Struthio camelus: one gene and its partners. The protein of the gene in region 1 interacts with the protein of each later gene in a pairwise test. Links are inferred from orthologs where the notes say so. Each region holds a gene or a part of one and is shown in the gene's direction. Other genes may lie near its edges. The genes, in order: CEP57L1, RAD51D, KLC3 and KATNAL1.

Region 1 (6,868 bases):
GAAAGGATAAATATTCAGGTTACTTAAAGCTTTATCCACTTTCCTGAGATCAGCAAAAATATACGTTCATGCACACACACACACACTCCCCCACATTTTAGCCCACAATAAGAGATCCTGAATACAAGTCAAAGCCACAGGAATCTACATTAAGCAGTAATGTATTTTTTATAGATTCTGATACAGGCAATGCTACTTATTAATCGGAAGCAAAGAAGTAAGTTTGCTTAGGAATTGACTGTATTTTAGAGGAATTTTTCTCTAGAAAAACTCTCTAGAGGTTTTTCTCTAGAGGCATGCTCACAGGGATGCCAAATTAGGGTCCTAAAAAAGGAGCCATGTTGACAGTGGCAGCTGCCAAGTCTGCAACTTACACCAGCCGTATGGTACATTCCACCAACTTGCTCCAGACACACAGCTGCTAAAAAGGCAGCAGCTGACCTGCTCACATCCAAGTATTTCTTGGTCACTTCAACAGTCAAGAGGGCACTAGACCCAGAAGGAAACAGCTACCAGACCATGGGTGGAATTCACATCTTGGATTTCCTCGCTGACCAATCCTGCATGCATAGCGGCAAGATTTAAAAAAAAAAAAAAAAAAGCACATTTCCCAATTCTGCTTCCACAAAGAAGTTCAGTCCAGTCCAGGCTCAGACTATGAGTTTGGGATAGACCATCCCACAGGAGAGGGGTGGTGGACAGCACTGGTTCCCAGGAGAACCTTTAGGTTCAAAGTTGCCTCTTTCTGCCCTGGGCTTTTTGTCCTTTTATGGCTTGGACAGGGAATAAGGTTAAGATAGCAGAGTGGTACATACTACTGTGAACTTAAAGAAAGATTATTTCATATCCTAACACAGGAAGATGAAGTAATACAATGAGTCCTTTAACTACTGATACTATTCTAAACAGGATTTCATTTTATTATAATATTACCAACCTGTTTACCTTTAGAAACCCTGCTAAAACCTGCAAGTTCTACAGAATAAGTACATTTTGCTTAATATTTTGCTTTATCTAACACGTTCATCGCAAAGATTTGAATAAAATTCTTTTTGGCTGTGAAATTAACAGAAAATCATTCCATGTCTGAAAATAGTCCATAGCATCCAAAATGGAATGCTTGGATTGGATTATTTCTTCCATGAATGCTGATCCAAAGATTACAAAAGAATTTGCATTTACGAGTACAATCCTAGGAACTAAAACTTGCCGTTCTCAAGTCAGAAAAGCTGTTAGCTTCTTAGGGAATAGATACAGACAAGATAGAAGGCATACAAAAGCACCTTTTACAGATTTTTTTAAATAATATATTTCTGACTTTCCTTAACTTGTTGCAAGACCTTTCCTGCAGCTCACATACATGTGAATGGTTTCATATTCGTGTAGTTCTTTCACTCTTGTTATTATTAGTCAAGCCAGCTACGGCCATGTGATGTGAACTTGTACTTGCTAAATCAAAACGCAGCGAACTGCAGCTTTCTAGTAGAATTTTTTGGCCTATTTAAAAACGCTACTAACAAAGTTCTTAAACAAGAAAAATAGTTTAGCATGCTAGTAAATTCATGTATGTAAACCTAAAAGGGAGTCAACAGATCACGTAGTCTGCCCTCTTCCATAATTTAGGTCAGAGATCACCACCCATTTGGCCTTTGAATAGACTCTGACAACTTATACTTGATAAAAGTAAGTCTTTTCCTTAGCAGTCTGTTCTAGTGACTCATCATTCTCACTGTAATAGCGTCTTCTCATTTGAATCTCCAACAGGAAAAATGCTGATACAAAGGTGCCAGGTTAAATTATCAACTTAACATTCAACTTTCCTTTTTAAAGTAGTATAATTGTCAAGCCTTCCACATAAACCGTAAACGCAGCATGGTTTTTCTTGGCAAAAAATCTGCTTTGAGAAATGTCCCATTCAGCCCAAACTATATAAATTAAATTATATTGTATGTAAAATTTATCACGCTGCACACAATTGAGAAGTTCTACAAAATAAAATAGAAAAGTGACACTGTATCCTTTGATACAAGTCTATCATCAGAATTTCAAGACCTTACGAACATTTTACATGAGCAAGAAAATTGCAACAAGAGTAACTATACTTAGGCTATAACCGGTGGGGAAGTAAAAAAAATAACAGTTTTCTTAGCATGAAAGGCCAGCAAGTTTAATCTGCTATTGGTTAGATCGCCTACGAGCTTTAAGAAAAATAGTTTGGCTCTTACTATTTCCAGTGGAGAGACTATTTACCAATAAACAACAACAGAAGAAGAATTTTGACAAGCTCTGCTTTAATAGTCTTCAAACGCATCCAGCTCTTATAACATAAAAGCCCCAAAATTCCCATACTGGTTTATATCTTTATTTAGCAGTCTTAAACGTTCATACCCAAATCTTTGGGTGGCCTCCCAGCCAATCTGCTTTTGTATTAAGCGAACTGCTAATATCGCCGCACTGGTAAAGCGGACCAGAACCAGAGACGTACGTTTGTCATTTTAGCACCTCCTTCTGGACGCCCTGGCGTCCCAGCAGTACGCTCACTTTGCAGCGATTCACGGCCAGCGCTCTCACTGGATTTCTTCATGCATTTCCCCTCCCTTTTCACAACTCCTTCCCAAACTTCTCTCCTCTCGTGCGCGTACTGCTGCACAAGCACAGCCGAAGCGCCAGTTCGGGGACCAGGCTCCGCGCTTCGGGCCGCCCCCTCAGCTGCCGCCGGCAAGCGCAGCGCCCCGCTCCCAGCGAGGAGCGGCACCCCGGGCCGCCGGCCGCCTCCCTCCCCACCCGGTGCCCCGCGGCAGCTGCGGAGCGGGCGGCGGGCGCCGCGGGGCTCCCGCCGGGGCCGCGCTTACCTGCACCCTGCCGAGGATGGCCTCGCTCTTCTCCCGCACGTCGCGGAAGGGGCAGCGCTTGGAGAGCATAAGCAGGCGGGCCAGCGCCGCGCTCAGCCCGTCCCGGGCGGCGGCGGGAGCCAGGAGCCCGGCGGCGGCTCGGGCAGGCGCCGCCGCCGCCGCCGCCACGGGCGCGACAGTCTCGCTGCGGCGGAGCACGGCTTGCCCGATGTTGTCCAGGGCGGCGTCGCGGGTAGCGGCGTCGCGGCTGCACAGCCCGTCCCAGCGCACCTCGCCCTCCCGCTCCTCCATGGGGGCCGCTGGCACGCTCCGGCTCCCCCACGGCCGCCTCAGCAGCAGCAGCACCGGCGCGGCCGCCGCATCGCCGAGCCGAGCTGCTCCCGGCACCGGACCCGCCCACAAAGAAAACAAACTCGGCGGCGCGCAGAAAGCGCGGAGCGTGCGCCACATCGGGGGGGGGAGAGGGGGGAGGAGAGCCGAGGGGAGGGGAGGGGAGGGGGACGGGTGGTCACTCCCTCAGCCCCGGCGGGCGCCGCCGCCAACGGCCGCCGCGCCAGCAGCGCCGCTGGGGCTTCGCCTCGCCCGGCCGGGAGCGGGGCAGCCACCACCCCGCGGCGCGGGCAGCTCCTCCTCCCCTGCCCGGGCGTGGAGGGAAAGGGGCCGGGGCGGGCCACAGCCCTGCCTCAGCCGCTCCCTCCCTCCTTCCCGTGGCGGGACAGGGCGTCCCCGCCGAGGCAGGACCGCCTCACACCCCCCCGGCGCATCCCTCCCCGGTAGGGGGAAGGGGGATAGCCCCGCCCAACAAGGCGGAATCCACATGATGGACGTGGCCTCCCAGCCAATCGCTCTTCAGCGTTCGCTACAGGTGGCCCAATCAGAGCGGAGAGTCGCTATCGCAGGAGGGCATGTTGGGACGTGTAGTCTTGCAGCAGGGCGACTCTGCGTCTCCCCCCCCCCCCCCCCAGAGGCGAAACTACGCGCCCCAGGAGGCAACGCGCGCAGGGGCGGCCGGCGCCGTGACCTGCCCGGAGCGGCGCCGGGACCTCGGCCGGGGCTGGGCAGGGTCCTAGGCCTGGGCTGGCGAGTGAGCCGGGGGGGCTGCGGTGGGGTCAGCCGTGTGTTTTGAAGGAAACGCGTAACCTCTAGGTAAGGGAGACAGTTTAGATAGTCATTTCTACCCTCCCCCCCCCTTGATTTTCTCTACAGGCGTGTGGCAGATTTCTCAAACGAAAAAAAAAAAAAAAGGTGTCCTTTATTACTTGCGACAGCAAGTCCTGGGGGTAAATTTACTTTAGGAATTTGCATTGGCCAAAAAATAAACGCACACGTGTTTTAAGCAATCACAAAAGCTTGTCAAATGTACACTTCAGCAGAAGCCTTTGGTACAGGCTAAGTAAACACGTCCACACGAGGGAAAAAAGCAGCCCATGCAAGTGAAATTCAGTGCCTTCAAATCTGAAAACAAAACCACAGAAAAATCTCTTTAATGTTAAACTTAGGCAACAGTTCCACAGTTTGTTAATCCAAGGTAAGTGCCAACTGCTACCAAGTGAGATGTTCTTGCTGCTTCCCTGGCCTTATTTTTCCCTTTTTGCAGAAAATAGATGCTTTTTTTTTTTTTGATCATGTCCAGCTAAGTCAGTTCCCTGATCCAATCCACCTCTTGGCTGCATGATTACTAAGGCTGGCAAAGAAGAGGCGAGGGAAACGTGTAGACATGGGCAGCATTACACGTTTTCAGCTCTCAACTTAAAGCAATCATGCAACCACAATTTCAGGTATACTGAAATCAAAAAGCCTACTTGCAAGTAAATAAGGAACAGGACATTGGGTCTATGTGGTCTTGCATAATTATTTGACGTTTATCATGCACAGGTTTCCTGCTGTAAAATTGAAAACCCAAAACCAAAGTTAAATACAGAACAAGCTACTTGCCTACTATGGAAAAGCACAGAATTGGCTTCTGATTTCTGGGAAGAAGACTTGGGCTGGCTCACAAAAACTAGCCTTCCGCAAAACTCTTTTATTTGCAGAGAGTTCGATGTCTTCATCTGACTGACATTCCTTTTGTTTTCTGGCATAGTTTCTCAGAAGCTTGCAAGATAGGTGTCCTTCTGTCATTACCTGTACCTTTCGAGGAAGACCAATCTCTTTTTAATTTTCCCATCCCTCCTGTAAGAAAAGCCATTCTGCAATGAATTTGAGTTACCATTGTTTGGTAGCGTGAACAGGCCTGGACTGCTTCGTGCAGGTGCTTCCTCTAGGCCTTTGGCACCGTTGTGAGCAATATATCTACCCAAGTCATCGCTGCTGTAATAAATGTGAGTCTTCACTAAGCACCTAAGGCCTCCTCCCATCGTAACTGGTGCGTTCAAAGAACATACCACTGCCAGTGCCTTTTGTATTCTCTTCTTTTTTATATTAGCTACCACTTTGGTTTCCTGTCCTGTTCTGTTGTCACTCATTGTGGGTCTCCCCACAGTGTGCGTCTGTTCCTATGAAAAGGCCTGTCACATATGCTTGCTTTATTTCTGTCTCAATTTTAATCTTCAGGAGTTGGATATATCTCATTTTTCCTATGACAAGTTTACACTTGCTGGATGTCTCTGACAATGCATAACATACATACACTAGAGATCAATACTAAACAGAATCAAAACAGAAGTGTTGATGTCTGACTTTAATATGGCTATATTCCCACACTGAATGGTAAGATGGATTGAAAGTCATAGCACTGCCTTTTATCTTTTAGAAGTTGTTTTTTCCACTGGCTGCAAATGAACTCTTGGTACAGGAAACAGATTGTGAAACTGGCTCCAAGGCCTAAACTCCAGATTTCAGCTCTTTGTTTTATAGGTTTTAGTGTAGCACTTTGGTAATGGAGATGAAGGTGGCTTTATTTTTTTTCAAATCAAATCTCTGCAGTTTTCCGATACTGGGTCAAACTTCTGTATGTACTGCAAGACTTCGTGGAAATCAAGGTCAAAGGCTACTAGCAGAATTAATCAGAGCCTGAAGTTAAGGGAGTGTATTTGTTTCATTTGTGCGTTCACTGACTGAAGTTAATATGGTTGTTTTGATTCCGAAAGAATGGGTAAGAGAAAAGCAGGATTACGAAGGAAACAATCTGTCAACTCATCCAGAATTACAGCATTTGAGTTTTTTAACTCAGCTGATAAGCTGAAGTAAAACAATTTTGTAACTGATTTAAGTCTCAGTATTTCCTTCCTTGATTATTTATCAACTTCCCTCTTTTTTAATTAGAAAGGACTTTTATAGCTGTATGCAAATTATATCCAACTGCAAAATTATTTTTTTGAAAATATAAAGTAATTCCATTCATGTCATTTTCTCTTCTTCCTCTGGTATAAATAAGAGCTAAACTGTATTTCATTTACTTTTAAAAGTTTTTCCCAGTTTCGGTATGTCACAAGAGAGCTCTTTACTGGAGAGTTCACTTAGTCAATTACTGGAGAACTAGTAATAACACAGTAAAACTTGTGCACCTTGGCATAAACTGCTTTTTCCTTCGAATGCTTTCATTTACACCCATTTTGTTAAAGCTTACTTCACTGAAACTAGCAAATATGTAGGGAGAGATCTCTCTCTTCTAAACCTACACCCTCCTCTTCCTTTCGGATCTGGGTTTTGGCTTCTTGCCACAGTATCTGGGCACTTCACAGTATTTAATGCCTTTTTCTTCACAGTAGACCTCTGAGGAAACAAACTTCTGTGACTCCTGTTTTACAGAGAGACACCAGAAACCCAGAGGCTACTTCTGTACTGTCTTTGAACTGAGGCCCAGCCTTGGTGTCAAGCCCAGATTCATGTATCATCCTAACAAACTGGCCTGACTGATCGAGAAAGCCCCAGAATAAGGTGTGGGAGAAAACTTGGGCTTGTTTTACTTCTCAGCACATGCCTGTACATCTGCAATCTGGTCTGGCCTAGTGTGGGCTGGGTAGGCACATCTGAACCAACCTCTGCCGCCCTGCCTCATTAGAGGACACAAATGA
Region 2 (7,330 bases), on another chromosome or scaffold:
GCATCTTCTCTATTAATTTCCCTGTAGCCTCAAAACCAAGCTAAGCACTTGGGCATTAGTGGATTTGAAGCAGGAAGACCACAGGGCCCCAAAAGGAGATGCGAGAGCAGGCTGGAGGGAGCATACCCACAAGCACAGCTCACTTCTTGCAAGCAGCCTCCTCCTTACCTCGAGACGCATCCGAGGCTGCCTTGACGTATTCCTCCTGTCGAGTCAGGAAGGAAGGACGATTCGTTAGCAGGGCAGTCGATTAGCAGGATATATCCACGTTACCGATGCACACCGTGACCTCTCTATTCCCACTTACTAATCAGACGCCACGAGAAACGAAAAGTAACACGCTTTTTCAGGAACACGTAAGCGATCTGAAATCCCATGGCAGGTCTTCAGGGAGCTGAGGTGGTTTTGCTACAGATTCTAATAACTTTTCTTTTTGCGCTAAGATCCATGCCTGCTTCTCTTATGCTGGAAAAGGCAAGCGGGAGAGAAGCCTCTGCACCCAAACCATGGAGTCTCCTCTGCCCCCAGCAGCATCTGAGGGGGACACATCCTGCGCAGCGTGAGCTTTGCTCCTGCTGAGACGCGACTTGGAAAAGCACCTATTTTCTCTTGCTATTCACACAGTGCCGCCACCGCCTGGAAATCTCCAGGGAGCGCCTGCACGAGGCCGGCTGGCCGTGGGGATGCCAGGCTCGCACAGCAAAGGGAGGAACAGATTTGAGCCCATGCTCCGTAAACCATTGCCTGTGCTCCAGCAACCCCCGCGACCTCCGGCTGCTGGTCCCCATCTCTCAGGGTTTTATTAACAGCACAGCTGATCGCTGCCGAGCATCCTCGGCTGCCGCCCTGCTCCTGCATCCCGGCTCTCGCTCCCCTCCTGCCCCAGGCCAGCACCACCCGGGCAAGCCGGGAGCCCCTCTCTCACCTTTTTCAGGAAACACGCCGCCCTGTTCCTGTACAGCACCGCCTGCAGCGCCTTGTCCTTGTTGAGCTTTATGGCCTGAGTGTAGCTTTGAATGGCTTTCTCATAATCGCTGGCCTGAAAATATTTATTGCCCTCCTCTTTCAGCTGGATGGGATCCTCCATCTGGAGAGGAGAGGGGGGGAAAAAAGATGCAAATTTTAGCCTGCCTGGGAATTTAAAAAAATATATATATCAGTTTGTGCCCCTTCCGTTTGCAGCCTCCCGTACGACAGGGTCGCTGGCGTACTCCCTCGGGTGAGTCTGGCCATCAAGCCAAGCTGCGCTCTGATCCCGACATTTAACTAACACGCACTTCAATAAAAGCAGGTTACTGGACTGAAGCCTTCAAAAACACCAAGGCCCAAATTGCTCCTCCAGGCTGTGGCTTCCCAAAAGTTTTTCCTGGCGTTGCAGATCCTCCAGGGTCAATTAATAAAAGAAAAAAGTTTCCGAAGTCAGCAGGCGCCGCGGACGGTCTGGACAGCTGGGAAAGAGCCCATCTCCCTCACCTCCCGCTCCAAGTTTGGGCAGGACCCGGCAGCTCCTGGGGCCCGTCAGCGTCGCCTGTCACCGCAGCCTGTCCCCACCTCTCCCCCTGCTATATAGCACCCCAGGGGGGGCTGCACGCCAGGGCACCCGCGACCGGCCCGGCTCCGGGGGCACCTGCCCGCCCCAGCGAAGCGTCTTTCCGCAGCCAGCAGGAAACCCGTCCCCGCCGCCGAACCAAACCTCAGCGCTGCCGTACCTGCGGAGCAGCGCCGGGCAGGGGGTGCAGGAAGAGGAGGGTCCTGCCAAAAAAAAAAAAAAAAAAAAAAAAAAAAAACAGCCAGGAGAGTTGACCCCCAGCCCAGTGCTCAGACCCTTTTCTATTTAAGGAAGCGGGAGACAGCTGAGCTGCCAGAGCAAATGGCCCCAGGCCGGCAGCTGCAGCAGCGCCCAGCACCTTCCAGAAGGCGCTGGGAAAGAAAGTTGATTCGCACGCAGTGCTGCCTCCTCCTCTCCGTTTCGCAGCCCTCTGGGCGCAGTCCAGCACAAAGGTCTGGCCCAGAGCGCATTGGCCCATTGCTGCAACGAGAGCCTCAGGTCTCAGTTTGAGCGACGCAGGCCAGGAGAGAGAACTGCTGAACTCCTCCAGATCAGAGCTGAGCCTTTCAAACCTACATATTTTTCAGGCCACGGAGCATCGGGAATTTTGCTTTGCAGCCTGATCTCCTCCAACACGCAGGCCACGAGCTCCTAAGTGCGACCGCCAGCGTCCCAGCTACAGAACGGATGGGGGAACTGGCAACAGGACTGGGGAAACTATTGACCGAGGGAAGCAGGGGCAGGTTGGTAACTGCTCTGTTGCTCCAATGGAGCAGAGCTGAGCTATGCCAGGGGATGTGCTCCGTTCTAGGGCCCTGCCAAGAAAAAAATTAGGTTACGTTTAGTGCTGGTGTTCTGTGTCACAGCTTATGGGTCTTACGCAGAAAGAATTGGCACAAGACTGCTTTGTCCAGCAGTCCTCGAGCTACATCAGCTCACGTCTAGCTCCTTCAACGTCTACCAACTAGCGCCACTCTGTCCCTGTTAGCTGTACCGGAGGGGGTCGCAACGAGGTTTGAAGGTCTCTGCATCACGTCCCCTTGCGGAGAAGTTTCAGGCCCTCACCTTCTGAGAGCAGAGCAGCGCAGCGATGGATCCACGGGGCCTGCAGAGACACCACCTCTTGGAGGGCGGAAGAAGCCACTTCCGCCACGCATCGAGTTGGCACCACAGCTTTTCCAGGGCCTGCTTTGACTAACACGTTGGAAGCACCTCCTCGTATTGCTTTAGGTGTGGGAGAAGGGTCAGCTTTCTTCATTCCAGTAATTCCTGTGGCATATAGCAAGTTATCCAGGATATCTTAAGTTATCCCAGATAAAGGCTTCATTTTCACCAGCAGCAATACTGGAGGTACTTCAAACACATTAAGTTACAAAATAAAGTTTTGTCTGATGCTACCTATGCTCGAGACAGAGCGGCCGCGGTCTGCAGCTCCCCAGGTTGTGCCGTTGCCGAAGCGGACGACAGCAGTTGCACAGCACCGACGTGCAGCCACAAACCCTGGGAGCCCTCTGGAGGCCTCACCCGGGAAAGCAAAAAAGCATTTTTTCCTGGGGAAATTCATCGCCGGGGGACAAGGAGGGCAGCAGCCAGCTGTGTGGAGGAGCTGTTGCTGCTCAGGCAGCAGCCTGGAGCGACCCTGCCAGGCCCATCGGCGCGCGAGCGGCTCCTGCCACGTTCCGGCCTCGGATCCCACCTCACCTCGCGGCTTCGAGCTGTGTTCTGATAGGAGGTTTTGCAGAAGAAAAGGCAGGACATTCAGTGTTTAAGTTGCCCTCCCAAAACCACCAAAATGAACTTCAGCATCTCTAGAGAAGCAGTTGGGCCACGGGAGTAGCTGTGCACCGTACCAGGCACGCCGGTATCACACTTCGGTTCAATGGGGCAGTTAACTGAAGACCAGCTCCTTGGTGCAGAGCTGCATTTGATCCTTCCTGGAGTTACCCCCAAAGCCCTAATGCAAGTTTAGGGTAGCTGAACAGGACACAGAGCACAGACCCTTCTCTGCAAGAGCCCCTGGAGGTTAAGAGCCAAAGTTTCACCCCTGTGTGCATACCTGTTCTTCCAGCAAGCACTGGGACACCACAGCAGCTCTGCTCCTGCGAGAGGCCTTCAGCCTGCCCCACCACACTCACAGCTCTTGGCACAGCACCTGACAGAGGTCCTCCCTGCCTGCTCGGGCAGACAGGAGCTCAGATCACAGCCAGAGGCAGCTCCAGAAGTGAGCTTTACTTTTAAGAGAGGAATAAGCTCTGCCCAGAAGCACAAAGCACTCTACAAGGCAAGACTACAGTAGCCTCACTTCTGCCTCCTACCTTTTAAACCAAACTCCCTTTTAAAACTAACTTTTAAACATGCTTGCCCCAATCTCTAATACACACTCCTCCAACATTACCCCCACCAGTAGCATTTACCCCCCTCCCCCAAAAACACCCAGCTCTTGTGGGGGTGGGTGGTGTAGGGCCTGGGAGCCAGGGCGTCGCTGTCACCTGTGCTAGCAGCCCTTTAGGGCCAGCTGGAGCCTCCCCTGCTGGGGCTGGTGGGGTCAGGGAGGTGGAGGTGGAGGTATTTCTGCTTTCCTTCGCTGCTCGGGTCACCCTGCTTTTCAAGCAGGAGGGGTTTTCAAGTCGGGCTCCGCGTTTTGAAGCGGGCTGGCGCCCGGCTGAGCGCAGCCGCTAGGCGGGGGTGTGAGCGGGCCGCTGCCGCGCGGCTCCGCGGGAAGCAGGAAGGGCCGCGGGGGCGGAGCGGGGCCGGAGCGGGGGCGGCCGCGGGGGCGGGGCGGAGCGGGGCCGGCCGGGGCCATGGCGCTGCTGCGGGCCGGGCTCTGCCCCGGCCTCGGCGCGGAGACGATCCGGCTCCTCGGGGCGGGCGGCGTCCGGACGGGTGAGCGGCCGCGCCGGGCGCGGCTCTTAAAAGGCGTTTGAGGGTTTTGCGTGTGTTTTTTCCCTCGTAGCTGCCAGCGCTCTGGGCCAGGCCCCGCTGCCGGTGGGCTCCAGGTGGGCTCTTTGCTGGCTCTGATAAAGGATGAAGCGCTTTATCCTTGTTAAAGGGAGCCTTGGGTCGAGAGCCTGTGAGTGCCCAAGCCACGGATGCTATAATCCTCCTCTTCCCCGTGAGAACTGCCTTTTACTATTTTTTAATGCCTAATGTACATGTTTCAATTAAGAAAGAAATCTTAAAGTGGCTCCTGGGGCAGAAATGGGCTAGTAGTTCTTCCCTAATTTCTGTGACTTTTGCCTTTCTCTGCATGTCCTGAGCTGGCACTTTGAGTCAGTCGTTAGCCCCTTGAGACAGGCTCTGCTGCACTAGCAGAACTGCCCTGTCTTGGCTGACTCTAGCTATCAAATGGTCCTGGGCAGCTCTTGAGCACAACTAGGGAGTATTTTTTATTAGCCTCTCCCTAATTCATTTTGCAATGAACTTAATGGATGGGGCTCATGTGATGCCAGTGCCACCTCAGAGGAAAAACCCCATTGTCCCACTTCGCGGGGCATCCTGCTCACCTGGTCAGAGCATCGGCCGAGGCACAGGAATGTTTTAGCTGTCAGTGCCTAAAGGTAGATTTTGTCCAAGCATGTGGTCATCCTGCAGTCTCAGGGTGATATTTCCTGCAGGAGCTGATCAGCTTTTTGGTGTTGATGGTCTGTTATGGTTTGGCCTCCAACTTCTTGTTCTTCATGTTATTTGCAGTGGTGGACTTTGTATCGTCAGACCTGGAGGACATTGCTCAGAAGTGTTCCCTGTCTTACAAGGTAAAGGGAGACTTGTAAGTCCTGTTACGTTAACCTGGGAGCTCAGAGCTGTTCAACTCAGTGCTTGGTCAGACTTGTCCACAGGGACCTTCTGATTCTCCTGTGTCATTGGTTTCTCTGTTGTGCTTGGCTCTGTGTTAGTCAGCCTTGTGCTGAGCGCTCAGTATTTTACTACTGTGCTTAAGAGCCCAAGCTGTGAATGGGGACTGTGCTATCAGCACCCTATATCGCTGGGTGGGTTGCTGGAGCGTGTGGGACCCACAGTTGCCCAGGGCAATGGAGACCGTTTGTTTTGTGTTGTCCCTGCACTGCCCTAGCCCAAGACTTCCTCAACTGCCTTTTCAGATGTCTCTCTGCCCACCAGGCTCTGGTTGCTGTGAGGCGCGTGCTCCTGGCCCAGTTCTCGGCCTTCCCTGCCAATGGAGCAGACCTCTATGAGGAGCTCAAGAGCTCCACGGCCATCTTGTCCACTGGGATTGCCAGGTGGGTACATTGCCCAGGGTGCAAACAGGTCTGGCTGTGGGAAACTCTCTGTGGAAAGACAGTCCAGCCTGGGCTTTGGGTTTCAGCCAGGTGGTGCTTCAAGCACTGTGCAGGGTGAGATGGGACGAGGGTGGAACGGACCTGGGGTGCTATGGCCAGCGCTCCTTCGTGGAGCTGCTGCAGCTCTCCTGCCTATGGTCTCAGCCTCTCCTCCACCTTGAAGCCCTCTCTGCGGTGCTAGGATGAGAACGAAGACATTTATTCTTCATATCCTGCCCAAACCATGGCTGCAAACTCAAGTCAGTCTGTGCCCCTTGAGGGAATGGCATTGCTGTTGTCCTCCTGAGAGCCTGTACCTCTCCTGGAAAGTGATTAGCATGTCTGACTTCTAGGCTAGATGACATGCTCCCTTCACCCTTTCCTTAGCGCTCTAGAGAGGAGGATTATAGACTTGTGAGGAGGGTTGAGTGATGATGGTCCAAATTATCTAGATCAGGCACAGAAATAAGTTGTGCTCTTCTTCTGTGACTTATTTCTCCCTTTCTCCAGTTGCCTCACCGAGTGGTTGCAGTGACTGTGCAGAGAAATCTGGGGTGTTCACAACTTGAGAGCTCTCAGACCACAGTTCTTCTCCTCTTCAGGACTGTCCTCTTATACATGACACTGCAGGCCTTCTGCTGCTCTCCAGAATGTGGAGAGACCCAGGGGAAGGGGGGAAGGAGCAGAGTCTGGGCCACTCATCTGCAGTTGGAAAGGGACCTCTGTAGGGATGAATAACTGGGGATTGCTGCTTCCCAATGCCCTTGCCCTTCTGCCTGAAGGTGTGTAAATAGTTCCACCCTTGTGTTCAACCCTTAGTTTGGACAAGCTGCTGGACTCTGGGCTGTACACAGGGGAAGTGACAGAGCTCATGGGAGCGCCTGGCAGTGGGAAGACACAGGTGAGCAGGACAGAGGAGGGCAGTGGACAGGTATGATGAAAATGATGCTACAGTGCATGAGGAAGGTGACTTCTCCCTGGACCCATGCTGCAATCTATATTTAAGGACACAACCTGGACTCACCCCATCCTACCTTTGGTTAATTGGATGGTTTCTAATGAGAACACAAGGAGGAGGGGGGAAAAAAGCTATTGTCAGCTTTTGGCAAAACCCATCTGTTCCCACCTTCTCCCTATGCTGGTCTCCTACATTGCAGGCTTTCAGGCACAGGAAGGAGGGACCTGATCCAAACCTGGGGTGTGAGGCTGGTGTGACCTTTTGAACAGAGGAAGTCTTTATTCTTTCCAGCTTGGTAGCTCCTGTGGTGAAGGACCCTGCTGCTGCAGGTGGCTGCCTTGGCTGTGAGGCCGTCGGAGCAATTTTGCCACTGGCAATCGTTGGCCCTTTCAGCTTGCATGGGGTGCAGATAAGAGGAAAGCACTGGGAAAACAGGCTGTGGGCAGGCACTGGCTTTGTCTCCTCCATCAGCCTTCAGCCTTTCCCAGAGCACAGGGCAGCCCTGGCAGGAGGCTTGAAACCAGACTTCTGCTGGTTCTGGCTGCTGTG
Region 3 (7,680 bases), on another chromosome or scaffold:
CGGTTCAGCACCGGCGGGGTCCAATCCGGCCGGTACCGGAGGGGTCCGGTCCGGTCCGGGCAGACCCGGCTCGGTTCAGCACCGGCGGGGTCCAATCCGGCCGGTACCGGAGGGGTCCGGTCCGGTCCGGGCAGACCCGGCTCGGTTCAGCACCGGCGGGGTCCAATCCGGCCGGTACCGGAGGGGTCCGGTCCGGTCCGGGCAGACCCGGCTCGGTTCAGCACCGGCGGGGGTGCAATCCGGCCGGTACCGGAGGGGTCCGGTTCGGCCAGACCCGGCTCGGTTCGGCACCGGCGGGGTCGGACCCGGCTCGGGTCGATACCGGAGGGCTCCGGCCCGGTTCGGTTCAGCACCGGAGAGGTCCGGTGCCGGTACCGGTGCCGGTGCCGCGGGGTTACCTGAGCGGCGCGGACGAACGGGTCGGGTCGGGTCGGGTCGGGTCGGGTCGGGTCGGAGGGGTCGGACCGGCAGCGGCGGCGGCGGCGGGGAGCGGGGCCGGGCACCGGCCTTTATAGCCCCGAGGCCGCGCCGCCCCCCCGCCTCGGCCCGCCCCCGGGGGGTACCGGGGGGTCCGGGGCCACCGGAGGGTCCGGGGCACCGGGGTGGTCCAGGAAACGGGGGAGGTCCCGGAGCACCAGGGGGTCCGGCACATCGGGGGGTCCCGGGACACCGGGGGGTACCGGGGGGGGCCGGTACCACCCGCCACTGGGTTACATCGAGCTGGACCGGGCGGGGGGGGGGGGGCAAAACCGGGACTAGGGAGGTAAAGCTGGGACGAGGGTCGGGGGGGGAAAACCGACCCCAGGGGGTTAAAACCAGGACCGGGGGGTGCAAAACCAAACCCGGGGTTTGGGGAGGGTAAAACTGAGCCTAGGGGGCAAAACCAAGACCAAGGGGCGGAACCAAGACCAGGGGGGTAAAACCAGGCCCAGGGAGGGCAGAAGGGCCCCAGGCAGCCCCGGTGCGATGGGCCCGGCCTCACCGGGACCCTCCAGGCCCCCCCTGCACCGAGCGGGTCAGGCCTCAGCGGCGGCGGGTGGCCAGCGGGCACCCTGCCCGGCAGCTGCCCGGCCCTGAAATACGGCCGCGAGGTGGGGCCGGGCGCTGGGCCAGCCAGGCGCCCGCTGCGTCCGGCCCTCGCACGCGCGCCCTTGCACGGCGCCCTGTGCCTTCCATGGGTGTCCTGTGCCTTGCATGGGTGCCCTGCACCCTACATGGGCACCCTGCACCTTGCATGGGCGTCCTGCACCCCACATGGGCAGCTTGCACCCTACATGGGCACCCTGAGCCTTGCATGGGCGTCCTGCACCCCACATGGGTGTCCTGCACCCCACATGGGCACCCTGTGCTTTGCATGGGCACCCTGCACCTTGCATGGGTGTCCTGCACCCTACATGGGCACCCTGTGCCTTGCATGGGTGTCCTGCACCTTGCATGGGTGTCCTGCACCCCACATGGGCACCCTCTGCTTTGCATGGGTGTCCTGCACCTTGCATGGGTGTCCTGCACCCCACATGGGCAGCTTGCACCCTACATGGGCACCCTGTGCCTTGCATGGGTGTCCTGCACCCCACATGGGTGTCCTGCACCCCACATGGGCACCCTGTGCCTTGCATGGGTGTCCTGCACCCCACATGGGCACCCTCTGCTTTGCATGGGTGTCCTGCACCTTGCATGGGTGTCCTGCACCCCACATGGGCAGCTTGCACCCTACATGGGCACCCTGAGCCTTGCATGGGCGTCCTGCACCCCACATGGGTGTCCTGCACCCCACATGGGCACCCTGTGCTTTGCATGGGCACCCTGCACCTTGCATGGGTGTCCTGCACCCCACATGGGCACCCTGTGCCTTGCATGGGTGTCCTGCACCTTGCATGGGCGTCCTGCACCCCACATGGGTGTCCTGCACCCCACATGGGCACCCTGTGCTTTGCATGGGCACCCTGCACCTTGCATGGGTGTCCTGCACCCCACATGGGCACCCTGTGCCTTGCATGGGTGTCCTGCACCTTGCATGGGTGTCCTGCACCCCACATGGGCACCCTCTGCTTTGCATGGGTGTCCTGCACCTTGCATGGGTGTCCTGCACCCCACATGGGCAGCTTGCACCCTACATGGGCACCCTGTGCCTTGCATGGGTGTCCTGCACCCCACATGGGTGTCCTGCACCCCACATGGGCACCCTGTGCTTTGCATGGGCACCCTGCACCTTGCATGGGTGTCCTGCACCCCACATGGGCACCCTGTGCCTTGCATGGGTGTCCTGCACCTTGCATGGGTGTTCTGCACCCCACATGGGCACCCTGCGCCTTGCATGGGCACCCTGCACCTTGCACAGGTGTCCTGCACCCCACATGGGCACCCTGTGCCTTGCATGGGTGTTCTGCACCCTACATGGGCACCCTGCACCTTGCACAGGTGTCCTACACCCTGCATGGACACCCTGTGCCTTACATGGGTGTCCTGCACCTTGAGTGGGTGTTCTGCACCCAACATGGGCACCCTGCACCTTTCATAGGTGTCCTGCACCTTGCATGGGCACCCTGCACCTTGCGTGGGCACCCGGCACCCTGCACAGGGCTCGCTGTTCCACCTCCCGCACCCCGGTCCTTGCCCGCTGCGCCCCCTCCTCGCACACGCGGATGTGGGTGCGGGACGGGGAGAGGGTGGAGGGAGGGCGGGATGGAGAGAGGAAATGGAGGGAGAGAGAAGGGAAAGGAGAGAGGGCCGGGCAGAGCGTGGGAGGGATGGCGAGAGGGAGGGAGGAGAAGAGATGGCAGGAGGAGATGGAGGAAGAGAGGAAGGGATGGAGGGAGGAAGGGAGAGGGACGGAGGCAGGGAGAGAGGGATGGTGGGACGGATGAGGGAGCAGCGGAGGGGTAGAGGAGATGGAGGGAGGTGTAGGAGGGAGGGAGAAGGATGGCAGGAGGTGGCGGTGGATGAGAGGGATGGGTGGCGTGATGAAAAGAGGATGGAGGGATGGAGAGAGAGATGGAGGGATGAACAGAGAGGCTAGAGGGAGAGAGGGATGGAGAGATGGAGGAGGGATGGAGAGATGGATGAACAGAGAGGATAGAGGGAGAGAGGGATGGGGAGATGGAAGGAGGGATGGAGAGATGGAGGAGGGATGGAGAGATGGATGAACAGAGAGGATAGAGGGAGAGAGGGATGGGGAGATGGAAGGAGGGATGGAGAGATGGAGGAGGGATGGAGAGATGGATGAACAGAGAGGATAGAGGGAGAGAGGGATGGGGAGATGGAAGGAGGGATGGAGGAACGGTGGCGGGAGAGGGGAGATGGAGGCAGGGATAGATGGAGAGAGGGATGGAGAGAGAGGGGGAGACCCAGGTGAGGAGAGGCCGGCCACAAGGGTCTCCCCCCTCACCTCCCCCAGCGCCAGGTCCACGGGTGCCCCTTGGGGACACGGTGGCACCCCCGTCCCCAGGCCGGGGAGGCCACCGGTGGGTGGCACAAGCCATCCCCACGCCCAAAATAGCCGCGGAGGGTGCCAGCAGCGCCCCGTCCCCCATGTCACCCACACCCCCAGGGCGTGGGGTCCCTGCTGTGGGTGCTGGGTTGGGGGGGGAGGTCAGGGTGCTGGGGACACCCAGCGGGTGCCGTGACCCTGGGGAAGGATCCGCTGGATCAGGGCAATTCTAGCCGGGGACGAGCCTCCCCCCCCCTCCCCACCCGGTATTTTTAGGCCGGGTCCGGTTACCCGCGGGGATCCGGTGTCGGGCCGGGCGGTGGGGCGGGGGGGAAGCGGGTGCTGGGGACCCCCACGGGGGGACCGGGAGGGCCAGGCGGCGGGGACACTGTGAGGGCACCCACCACCCCGCATGGGGCCCTGCGGGGGAAACCGAGGCAGGGAGTGGGGTACCCCCCGCCGGGTGGCCCCAGGCACCCAGGGGTGGGCGAGCCCCCCTCCCCGTGCTATGGTGGGGGGGGATGTTGGGCTGTGGGTGCCCCCCCAGGCAGGGCAGGGCACCTGCACCCATGGCAGGGTGGGGGGGGTGAGGGACACCTCGGTACCCCCGGAGTGTACGTGGGGGGGCTGTCTGGGTGTCCCCAGGGTGTGTATGGGGGGGTCTAGGTGACGCCAGAATGGGCATGGGGGGGCCTGGAACCCCCACAGGGTGGGTATGGGGAGGTCTGGGTGACCCCAGGGTGGGCACGGGGGGGTCTGGAGCTCCCCAGGGTGGGTATGGGTGACCCCAGGGTGGGCATTGGGAAGTCCTGCAGCCCCCCAGGGTGGGTATGGGGGGGTCTGGGTGCCCCTGGGGTGGGCGGGGGGGGTCCAGAGCCCCCCAAGGTGGGTATGGGGGGGGTCTGGGTGCCCCTGAAGTGGGCAGGGGGTGGTCTGGAGCCCCCCAGGGTGGGTATGGGGGGGTCTGGGTGCCCCTGGGGTGGGCGGGGGGGGGTCCGGAGCCCCCCAGGGTGGGACGGGGGTGCCAATAGGGTGCCCCATAGCACTGGGGGGGTCCCCTTGTCCTTGGGGTGCCCCCTAACCCCGGCGGTGCCCCCCCCTCTCCCGGGGCCGCCTCAGGGCGCCCCCCGCTCCCGCTGAGGCGGCCCAAGATGGCGGCGGCGGGGGCGGCGCGCGGGGCATTGTGGGGCGGCGGCGGCCGCAGGTGAGCGGCGGTGGCCGAGGGGCGGGAGGGGGGGGAGGCGGCGATGCCGGAGCCCGGCGGCAGGTGCGTACGGGCGGCCGGTTCGAGCCGGGGCCGCCGGTTTCGCTCCCGGGGGGGGGGTGGGGAGGGAAGATACCGGTTTTGAAGGTGGGAGGGGGTGTCCGGTTTTGGGGGAAGAGGTGTGTGTGTGTGTGGGGGGGGTCCGGTCCGGGAGCGGGTTGGGGGGGGGGGCGTCGGGCTCTCCCGCTCCCGGTGCGCTGCGCTGGCTCGGCCCGAGCCGACCGGGGGGCTCCGCCCGGTGCCGCCACCGCCGGTGGGGCCGGGCCGGGGGGCGCGCGCGGGGCGGGGCGGGGCGGGGCGGGGCGGGGGGACCCACGGCGCATGCGCGCGGGAGGGGCGGGGGGCTGTGGATGGTCGCGTGCGCATGCGCGCGGGGGGGGCCGGGAGGGGGGGCCGGGGAGGGGCGCGTGCGCATGCGCACGACTGCGAAGGGAGGGGGGCGCGCGTGCAAGGGGGATGGGCGCGTGTGCGCATGCGCTTGCCGGGGGTGGGGCGGGGCGCGTGCACGGGAGGGGGCGCGTGCACGCGGGCGTGCAAGGGTGCGCAAAAGGTGGGGGCGGGTGTGATCACCGGTGTGCAAGAAGGGGGGGGTTGCGTTTGCACGCGCACACACGTGCAAAGTGGGGGGGGGGCACACGCATGTGCCTCTGCCCACAAAGCCCGGGTGTGTGGGCCCGTGGGCGTGCGAAGCTGGGTTGTGCGTGCAAAGCCCAGTCGTACAGGCACATGCGCGTGCAAAGCCTGGTGGCGTGCACGTGCGAGTGCAAAGCCCGGTTTTAGTGCGCGTGCACCATTGCAAAACCAGGTGGGGCATGCACGCGTGAGTGCAAAGGCAGGTTGTGTGTGCAAAGCCCAGTTGTGCACGCCCGGGCGTGTGATTGTGTGTGCAAAGCTAGCTTGTGTGCACACATGCGAATGCAAAGTCGAGGTTTTGTGTGCACGCACAAGTGCAACATGGGTGACACAAAGCCGGGTTTGTGCAAAGCCCCGGGCGAGGGCTGAGAGTATGCACGCGAGCGTGCAAGCCTGGAGATGGTGCCAGGCCAGGTGGCTGGGCTGGGGGAGGGGGGCATTGCGCGTGCACATACGTGTGCAAAACCAGGCTGCACGTGTGGGCCAAGGTGGGCGCACGTGAGCTGGGGCGTGGGTGCACGAGGCCTTTGCACGTGGCGCCCGTGGGCGAGCGTGGGCACGCTGGCCGCATCACCCGGGCAGAGCCGCCCCGGGGCACCGCACCCCTGCTGGGTGCAGGCTCCTCTGCCCGGCTCTGGCACCCGTGCCTGCACCCGTGCAAGATATCCATGGCTGGCTCTGGCACCCGTGCATCCAGGGCCAGCACCCATGTCTGCCTCCAGCACCCGTGCATGACACCCGTGCATGACACCCATGCCCACCTCTGGCATCCGTGCATGTCACCTGTGCATGTCACCCATGCCCACCTCTGGCACCCGTGCCCGGCACCCGTGCATGGCACCCATGCCTGCTTCTGACACGCATGCATGGCACCCTTGCCCAGCTCCAGCACCCGTGCCCAGCACCCATGCCTGACCCCCGTGCCCACCTCTGGCACCTGTGCCCAGCACCCATAAGAGACATCCATGCCTGGCTTCGGCACCCGTGCATGGGATCCAAGCCCAGCACCCATACCCGCCTACAGCACCCGTGCCTGACACCCATGCCCACCACTGGCACCTGTGCATGGCACCCATGCCCAGCACCCATGCGTGACATCCATGCCTGGCTCTGACACCTGTGCATGGCACCCATGGATGTCACCCGTGCATGGCACCCATGCATGACACCCATGCATGACGCCTGTGCCCAAAAGCAGCACCCATGCCCAGCCCGGCCACCCGTGCCCATCTCAGCACCCATCCCTGCAGCGCGGTGACCCCCTCCCACCCCTCCGCTCCCGCAGGCTCGACAGCCCCATGGCAGCACCCGGCGGGGACCCGGCGGGCCGCCCGGCACCCGACGCCCTGGTGACGGGCACCCGGCAGGTGGTGAAGGGGCTGGAGGCGCTGCGCACCGAGAGCCGCCAGCTGCTGCGGGTGCTGGAGCCGGGGGCACCCTGCGACACCCCGGAGCTGCTGGCCGAGAAGCGGGAGCTGGCGCGGCGCTCGCTTGACGGCATCGAGCTGGGCCTGGACGAAGCGGAGGTACGCGGCGGGCGGGTGGGTGCTGGGTGGGTGTTAGGTGCTAGAGGTGGGCTGCTGGGACGGCGCTGGCTGCTGGAGCCAGGGTGGGTGCCGGAGCCAGAGCTGGGTGCTAGAGCTGGGACAGGTGCTGGAGTTGGATGCTAGAGCTGGATACCGGAGCTGGGATGGGTGCTGGGTACTAGAGCTGAGTGCTGGGTGCTAGAGTTGGGTGCTGGAGCTGGGATGGGTGCTGGGTACCAGAGCTGGGTGCTAGAGCTGGGATGGGTGCTGGGTACCAGAGCTGGGTGCTAGAGTCAAGTGCTGGAGCTGGGATGGGTGCTAGAGCCAAGTGGTGGGTGCTAGAGCCAAGTGCTGGAGCTGGGATGGGTGCTGGGTACCAGAGCTGGGTGCTAGAGCTGGGATGGGTGCGGGGTACCAGAGCTGGGTGCTAGAGCCAAGTGCTAGAGCTGGGATGGGTGCTGGGTACCAGAGCTGGGTGCTAGAGCCAAGTGCTAGAGCTGGGATGGGTGCTGGGTACCAGAGCTGGGTGCTAGAGCCAAGTGCTGGAGCTGAGATGGGTGCTAGAGCCGAGTGGTGGGTGCTAGAGCTGGGCACTGGAGCTGGGATGGGTACTGGGTACCAGAGCTGGGTGCTAGAGCTGGGATGGGTGCTAGAGCCAGAGCTGGGTGCTAGATCCAAGTGCTGGGTGCTAGAGCTGGGATGGATGCTGGGTGCTACAGCTAGGTGCTGGGTGCTAGAGCCAGGTGCTGGAGCCTGGATGGGTGCTGGAGCCAGAGCTGGGTGCTAGAGCAGGTGCCAGGTGCCCCATCCGTGCCCGACACCCTCCCTCT
Region 4 (7,020 bases), on another chromosome or scaffold:
CTTGCTAAAGCTCTTCACTTCCTCAAATAGGCAGGTGTAACTGTTTACAAGGTCACACCATAAACCTGACAGAGATGTGATCTAGGGTAAAACTAACACTTTATTTCACAGGATCCTATTTAATCCAGATCATTTCACCAACCCAGTTTACAGTGCCACCACATAAACAGCTGTACCTGCACAAACGACAGAGTGATAAGCAAAAGCAGAGGGCAAGAACAAGCGCTGAGGGGCGAGGACCTGTTAAGTCACTTTTGTTGCCGAGGACAAGATGCAAAGAATAGCACAGAACAGCATTCAAAGCTGAAGAGGCTCCTCCAGATGATAATTCAGAGCAGAAGCCTAGCTTACATAGTCTGAATTGCTCCCTGGAGGAACCTCTCTCTCTCTTAGACTATGCAAGGCATCTAGGGAGACGAGCCTCCTAATTTAGGCATCCAAGTTAGATGCTAAACGTAGGCAGTATTTCCCCAGAGAATGTGAATGGGATGTTATAAAAATTTAAAATATGTTTAACCAAAGCTATTATGCCAATGTTTGTTCTTTTATGAGATGCTGTTTTCTGTGCTACTGACACACTGTTATGACACTATTGTGTTGCTCATTTATTAGATGCACGAAAAAATTAACAAATGCACATCTTCCAAATACAATCCAAATTTAAAGTTAAAAAAAGATTCCCAATTTTACACTCGTAATGGGAACCAGATTAAGTTGTTCACATGGAAACCACTGCATATACCCTATAGTTATCACATCAGAGGACCAGAAAGAGAAAAGAAAGGGAATTCACAATGATCACCACCATATTATTTAACCTTCTTGTTCTTCTTAAATATTTTTGTAGGTTTTCATTAGGCACTTTGGCTACACTTTCATTTGTAGTTATTTCTTGCCATTTAGTGTATTGCCCGTGTTTACTCAGACCTTTATACACATGCAGGGACTGAAGTTTTAGAATTTATCTATAAATGACAGAAATTGTTCTTCTAATACAGATGCATGGCCACCAGTGTGCTTACCTCCTCACTCCTGACTTGCACTCTTGCTTTTTAAGTATATACCAGCACACAGATTTTCACTGCATCTTCCTTCAAATATGACTACCTTCATTGCCATTGATCATAGCACTATTCAAAGGACTGTTCAACACAATCCTGGAAAGGATTATGATACGTTAAGAAGCGCTCTTTAAATATAACTGACTTCTATTCTGGATGACTGTGTTTACAGGAGTGGACTGTTAAAGTCAGTTCACCTTCTAGTATCTCACACTGCAGAATTGGAGCTAGGATGCCTAGGAAATCTAAAATGGTGGGCAAGCTATTAATATGTAATAGACTGAGCTTTGTTTAATCTAATGGTTTGGGCATCTAAACTGCGCAAAAAGCTGCACAATAGCTCTTATATTCGAAACTGACACTTTAAGTCAGAAACGTATCTATAAGCAAAGGCCACTAACATATACCAGCACGACTTAAATTTTTGGCTATGCCAGGTAACAGGCTGCATTGATACAACTGCTTGGTTCAAACTACTGAAGCCTAGTATCCTACAGTTGTGTATCCATTTCCCCTTAGCCCTCACCACTGCAATATATAAAGCAGCCTGTGTGTCACATATGACACTGCAGCTGTGCTCAGAAGTAGGTGCAGCAAGTAGCAGTGAGGGCAGTCAGTCATTTTTTGCATGCAGATTGGCCAGCCTGTTGCCAGATGAACCATTTAACAGCTAAGTTCTCCCCACCTTGTGCTCCATTGGGGCAACAGCAAGGCCCATCTTTTGTATCCTGCCACTTACTACTAAACTAAAAGGAACTCAATTATTATAACAACTTCCAACCTTTTGTCAGATGTGCCTGAAATTAGCCAATGAGGTTCGAAATGACTGCCGTGGGAAAGACTGCATGCAATTCCAGAAGTGTCACATCTTTAGCAAACCAGCCTAAAATCCACACCCTACCATGAAAGAGTTATATTGCCAAACCTTTCTCACTTAATTCTCTTGTGTATCACAGGAGATTTCTTCTTAGCTGTCAATTCTAGCAAACACATCATATTAACGGAGCTCTGCCACTTTATACTATCTGATGACCTGCCACAGGACTGGGATGATGTGAATGAACTTTTCTTTTCCTGTTCCAGTTTTCATGTAACAACTGCTGACTCCACTTTCTCTGAGGTTTCTTTCCAAGCCTTCCTTTCTGTTTGGACTACTGTAAGCTACTTTCTTATTCCTTCTCTGAACAGTAACACTCCAGCAGATGCAAAACGCTTCTGTATATTAAGTGTATAGAAAAAAGAAATATGACACCTTAGTTTCTAGTAATTCTTCTAATTTCTGTCAAAAGACTCAAAGCAGAGCTATTATTTTTTCAACCCACTGTGGACTTGCTTCAAGCCATGTCAAAGATCTACCTTCTCTTCTACCTGTTCTTTCCATTAATCTGGCATTGGCCTCTTCATCATTTTAATCTAAGAGGCCGTAAGTGTCGTGACAACTATTTCTCTCTATGGCTCCAACCATGCAACAAACATCTTAGGTGGGACTCCTCTCACCCACCTTTAGGCATCTGCACTGCAGAAACTGCTATTTACAATGATCACCTTCTATAAATATTAGGAAAAAAAAAAAGCACATTCAGGGCACAGTCCCCCTTGGTCAAAGGGGGAACTATATCCCTGAAGTACCTCTCTCTCTCTACCATGAAGAAAATCTAGAGGAAGCCTAATTCAGATGCACAAGTCTACGTAACAGATGTCTATCTTTGACTGGAAAAATACAATAGCTTGCGGCCAGCCCTATGCTGACTTTCTGGTTTAATTGAAATCTCATCTGAAAATCAACTGCTCTGCCTTGAAAGAGTCTTTATTACCAGCCTACAGAATTTTGAGAAGTAGCTTGTGTGAAAGATGTCAACTAAATCCTTCTGTGTTGCCACTTTGTCAAAATTTCTTAAGGTTCAGACTTTAAAGTTCTCTTCGAGGATAAAAAATGGTGGATGTGTCATACTAATAAATACCATACAATAAAAATACCTAGGCAGACCAATTACTATGCATGTTTACAAAGTAATATGCCTTTACTAAGTTGTGCATAACTTCTCTTGGGAGGTTAATGACCATGATTATGTAACATGCTCCTTCTTTTCCCTATTGTTTCTCTATTGCTTTTCACCTCCAATTATTAAAGCATTTCTCAATGTTGTCTGTAAGACCTTTGGTATAGACTTATGTTTGCATTTGAGTATTAAAGATTACTACAAAGGCAGAATAATTCCTATGGCCCAATTAAATATAATTGCAAGGGGAAGCGATGACAAAAGCAGAGGGCAGTTCATAATTCACAAGTATCTCATGTGCTTTCAGTCTTCTCTTGCAGAACTTTGTGTGGGAGGAGGCTACGAATGAAGCTCCCTGCTACAGCGCTAAATGCCCGTGCCAGCCATCTGAGTTAGATACAGTCTATGGAATTTATGCAATAATAACCAAATCAATTTAGAAACCAGTTTTGTTAATCTGACACAGACCCTAAGTGTGGCTAGCTTAAAACATGGCTGACAGTGTCTGCAATTACTGTGGCTTAAGAGATACTTTTGAACCAATTCAGATGTTCATGGCAAAAGAGTTACGCTAATTTATATCAGCTTCTGATTGAACTGACTAAATTCATAGAATAAATTGGAGAGAGAGGGCACACAATGCCAGCTCTGCGGGCAGAATTACAGGCCTCTGGGAAGGGGCATGTTAAGTCTCTGGGGTTTGGCTGCGAGTAATGCCCTCCTCTACCAACACAGCTGGAGCCTGTCTAACCACAGCCTCTGACACCCACCAACATCATGTCTTATCCAGAACTGCTAGGTTTAGGTCTTCTGTCAAAAAGAAAAAAAAAAGTAATCCATGGGAGAGAATATATTCATAGTAGAACAAGTTTCAGTGGTTTAAAGTGTCACCTCTCCCAAGGATTTCTTACCTTCTCTTTGCCTGAGATTACTGCCTCACAGCAGAGTTGGTGGAATGAAATATGTGCATGACTCTCGGCTGCTTCAATATGAGGTCCAGCAAATTAACTTAAATTGCTGATAAGGATGAGTTTAATGCCAGTTTTTGTAATAAAATGGATTAGAGACAGGAGTGTTTTCCATTCCAGGGACTGTTGTGGAGGCAGAAACCTTCAGCAGAGAGGTAGAACAAATAATTAGGGAAGTAATATATCTTACATCACTCCAGCCACATTTCCTGGAGTTCATCTGACCATAGCAATACAAAAGGCTATGAAATGGCATGCGCAAATCTACTGTCTTTCTCCTCATTAACAAGTTTATGAACTTCTATAGGCCTGTTAGTCCTTTCTCCTCCAGTTGTCCCTTCTCATGATCAAAAACCACATAGTAGTATAATTATGAGCTTTACAGTGAGAAAGAGCAGGAGGCTGGCCTAGAGGACCTCCTGGGGTCCCTTCCAACAGGAACTACCCTGTGATCCTTATGTATGCGTAGTATACAGGGTTAGCAGTCTGGAGAGCTGGTTCTTTTCCTGCTGCTTACTTTTAAGTTATAGTTACTTATTAGATCTTGGCAAATTGTGTAGATCATGCTTTCTGAATCAAACTTTCCCTCTGAGGAGTCCAACTAGAGTGAGACAGGTATTGCTATGACTGTAAGCAACTGCTTTTCAATTGGAAGTCAATGGGAATATGGTTACCCTATGTCACGAGGAAGCAGCCCATGGAAAGAAGAAAAAAACCAGAGGTTATGACTGAACAGCCAACCTTACTTCTCTGTGTCACAATTTCCTAGCTGAGGGATCTGATCCTCAGACAAATCAGTTCATGTGTTGGCTAAAGTGATAGGAGGTATACAGTCTTGTGGGAAGAGATATTACGGTGGTGCAAGGGACAGGCTGCTTGCAATCTGTTGGCCCTAAGAAGCCTTAGGCTCTCTAAGATCTGCATAGCATCTTTGCTTTTGGGTATGTGGAAAACCAGGAGGAATCATGCCTTCAGCAGGCAAGTATGGAGAAGTCTGGAAAAGGGGGAAGCCAGAGGGGCTCACAAAGGCAGAAAAATCTCCACGTGATTTTGAGGGAAGCAAGACATGCGCATATATGTGAGTGACACATACACACATGCTGCATTATTTAAGAGGCGTACTAAGCTCTTAGCTTCAATCCTTGCTCTTTCACTTATGTTAGTTAGCATTTCTGAGGCCCTTTTTGTGAAGTACCACCTAATGCTGCTACGTCAAGGTAACTAACGTTTACGTTTTCCAGTTAAGTTACATGTCATTATAGGGAGCTACCACATGGTCATTACTGGGAAAGTCTCAGAGTTGTCACAAGTGGCACAGAGCCATTGAAGTGGTGTTGGTGCACACGGAAACACAGCTCAAATCTGTTGGGATCTCACTGGGCTAATCCTGCCTCCATCACATGTTCCCTCTGTCTTCCTGGGGCCCGATGCAGCTTTGTGGGGTCAACTAATTCAGGAATTGATTCTGCTAAAAACTGTTTGGTTTTTTTTTTTGGAGAGGTATACCCAGCTTTCAGATGGTTCAGACCCTAGACCTACCTTACCAGATAGTGACTTGAGCATTACTGCTGTGTAAGTCACAGGAAAGCATAGCCAGGATCAGAGAAGAAGGCAGGACTGTCCCTTTTGGTAGCAATAAGGACACTGACTGACTCACATTAATTGTGAAATCATATCCTTTGAGAGACTTATTGTTTCCTTTATAAGAGACCCAACCGTTTATCTTACGTATGAGATGCTTGCTTCAGAAATGCTAGGTAATATCCATTCTTGGCAATAACATAAACTGGGTGCTTTTCTTTGATTAGGCTGCCTGTGACCACCACGTATCACCTGGCTCCCAAAAAAATGGGAAAATGGGAATCCCAAAAATCTTATGTGTTCAGTTCTTATATGAAAGCCATGACATCTGCTAGCAAAATGTGTATCAAGTCTCTGTGTGCCCATACAGAGGACAACTGCATATTTTGCCTTTTCTAGTCACTCCCACAGCTGAAGTGGGAAGAGATGAGTTTTGTATTGTGTATGTGAAAATCCATTAAAACTTAAATAAATAAAACCTAAAAAAAAATGGTAACCATAGAAAACTGCTGGAACTGCAGTTCGGCTGGTTCAGAAGCGTATCTGCATGCTGTGGTGTTTTATCACTTCTAAGGCTTACACTTTCCTCCTTTGAAAGGGAGAGTGCCACTTTTAACTGTGGGTCTTTTCTTAATGGACTGAAAGGGCGAGGCTCTCTTTCTTAACTCAAGCCAGTAATTTTAACAGAAATTATTCTAAGGATTCCTAAAATGTAGGCTTAACAGTGGAAACGGGGGGGGGGGGGGCAGGGGGCTTGCAACACCCATCGCCATCCTCAAAGATGAAGATGTGAAGAGCTTTTCCTTTGTTTGAAGCTCGCTGGAGAAACCACACCCTTTCCCTCCGCCAGGACAAGGTCACGGAAACTCTTGAGGGAGAAGGTGCGAGTTTTCTGCCTACGCATCCAGGCAGTGGAAGGCCCTTCACACGTTCGAGAAAGGTCAGGACTCGTCTGTTCTTCTCTCTCTCCAGAAAAACAAACAAAGGAAAAAAATCTCCGACTCCCTCTGGGGACCCACGAAAGCGCATGTGGAAGAAGCCTCCGCGGGTGCAGCTCCGGGGTCACCCCCGTGGGGACGGCACCTAGGGCCCCTCTTGGGAAGGGACAGCGCTTTGAAGGCGAGGCCACGCCGCCGGCCGGCCGGCCGGCCAGCCCTCGGCAGGGGTGCCGGGCACCGGGTGCCCTCAGCGCCCGCCCTGGGCGCGGCCGGGGCCGAGCTCCCCACGGGCGGGTGGGGCGCGCCCCGCCCCTCCCCCACCAACGGCCGCGCCCCCGCCTCGCAGCTGCGGCCTCGCGGCGGGGGCGGGGTAGCGGGATGCTGCGCCGCGGCTACGCCGTCCCTCCCCGCGCTCCGCCGCCGCCGCCATGGCAACCGGCCGTTGCCGCCGCCGCGCGCGCGCGCGCGCCCC

Evidence for each region.
Region 2: the proteins of CEP57L1 (region 1) and RAD51D interact in binary tests that used the Homo sapiens proteins (3 or more experiments, as listed by UniProt). The two-hybrid records come from large-scale screens. The link is inferred for Struthio camelus from reciprocal best matches to the Homo sapiens genes CEP57L1 and RAD51D.
Region 3: the proteins of CEP57L1 (region 1) and KLC3 interact in binary tests that used the Homo sapiens proteins (3 or more experiments, as listed by UniProt). The two-hybrid records come from large-scale screens. The link is inferred for Struthio camelus from reciprocal best matches to the Homo sapiens genes CEP57L1 and KLC3.
Region 4: the proteins of CEP57L1 (region 1) and KATNAL1 interact in binary tests that used the Homo sapiens proteins (3 or more experiments, as listed by UniProt). The two-hybrid records come from large-scale screens. The link is inferred for Struthio camelus from reciprocal best matches to the Homo sapiens genes CEP57L1 and KATNAL1.

The regions. Positions count from the first base shown.
Region 1 is NC_090944.1:59,945,197-59,952,064, forward strand, and holds the start of CEP57L1 (centrosomal protein CEP57L1), read left to right. Parts: upstream 1-3,855; 5' UTR 3,856-3,998; intron 3,999-6,868. Other genes in the region: SESN1 (sestrin-1), read right to left, coding at 2,853-3,302. UniProt on the Homo sapiens protein: Centrosomal protein which may be required for microtubule attachment to centrosomes.
Region 2 is NC_090957.1:14,879,342-14,886,671, forward strand, and holds the start of RAD51D (DNA repair protein RAD51 homolog 4), read left to right. Parts: upstream 1-4,313; 5' UTR 4,314-4,350; coding exon 4,351-4,432; intron 4,433-5,239; coding exon 5,240-5,301; intron 5,302-5,665; coding exon 5,666-5,784; intron 5,785-6,642; coding exon 6,643-6,724; intron 6,725-7,330. Other genes in the region: UNC45B (protein unc-45 homolog B), read right to left, coding at 169-205, 926-1,087, 1,710-1,752, 2,615-2,706. UniProt on the Homo sapiens protein: Involved in the homologous recombination repair (HRR) pathway of double-stranded DNA breaks arising during DNA replication or induced by DNA-damaging agents. Bind to single-stranded DNA (ssDNA) and has DNA-dependent ATPase activity.
Region 3 is NC_090957.1:1,405,637-1,413,316, reverse strand, and holds the start of KLC3 (kinesin light chain 3), read left to right. Parts: upstream 1-4,664; 5' UTR 4,665-4,674; coding exon 4,675-4,694; intron 4,695-6,609; coding exon 6,610-6,850; intron 6,851-7,680. UniProt on the Homo sapiens protein: Kinesin is a microtubule-associated force-producing protein that may play a role in organelle transport. Plays a role during spermiogenesis in the development of the sperm tail midpiece and in the normal function of spermatozoa.
Region 4 is NC_090942.1:199,542,171-199,549,190, forward strand, and holds the start of KATNAL1 (katanin p60 ATPase-containing subunit A-like 1), read left to right. Parts: upstream 1-4,001; 5' UTR 4,002-6,550; intron 6,551-6,917; exon of another isoform or gene 6,918-7,020. UniProt on the Homo sapiens protein: Regulates microtubule dynamics in Sertoli cells, a process that is essential for spermiogenesis and male fertility. Severs microtubules in an ATP-dependent manner, promoting rapid reorganization of cellular microtubule arrays.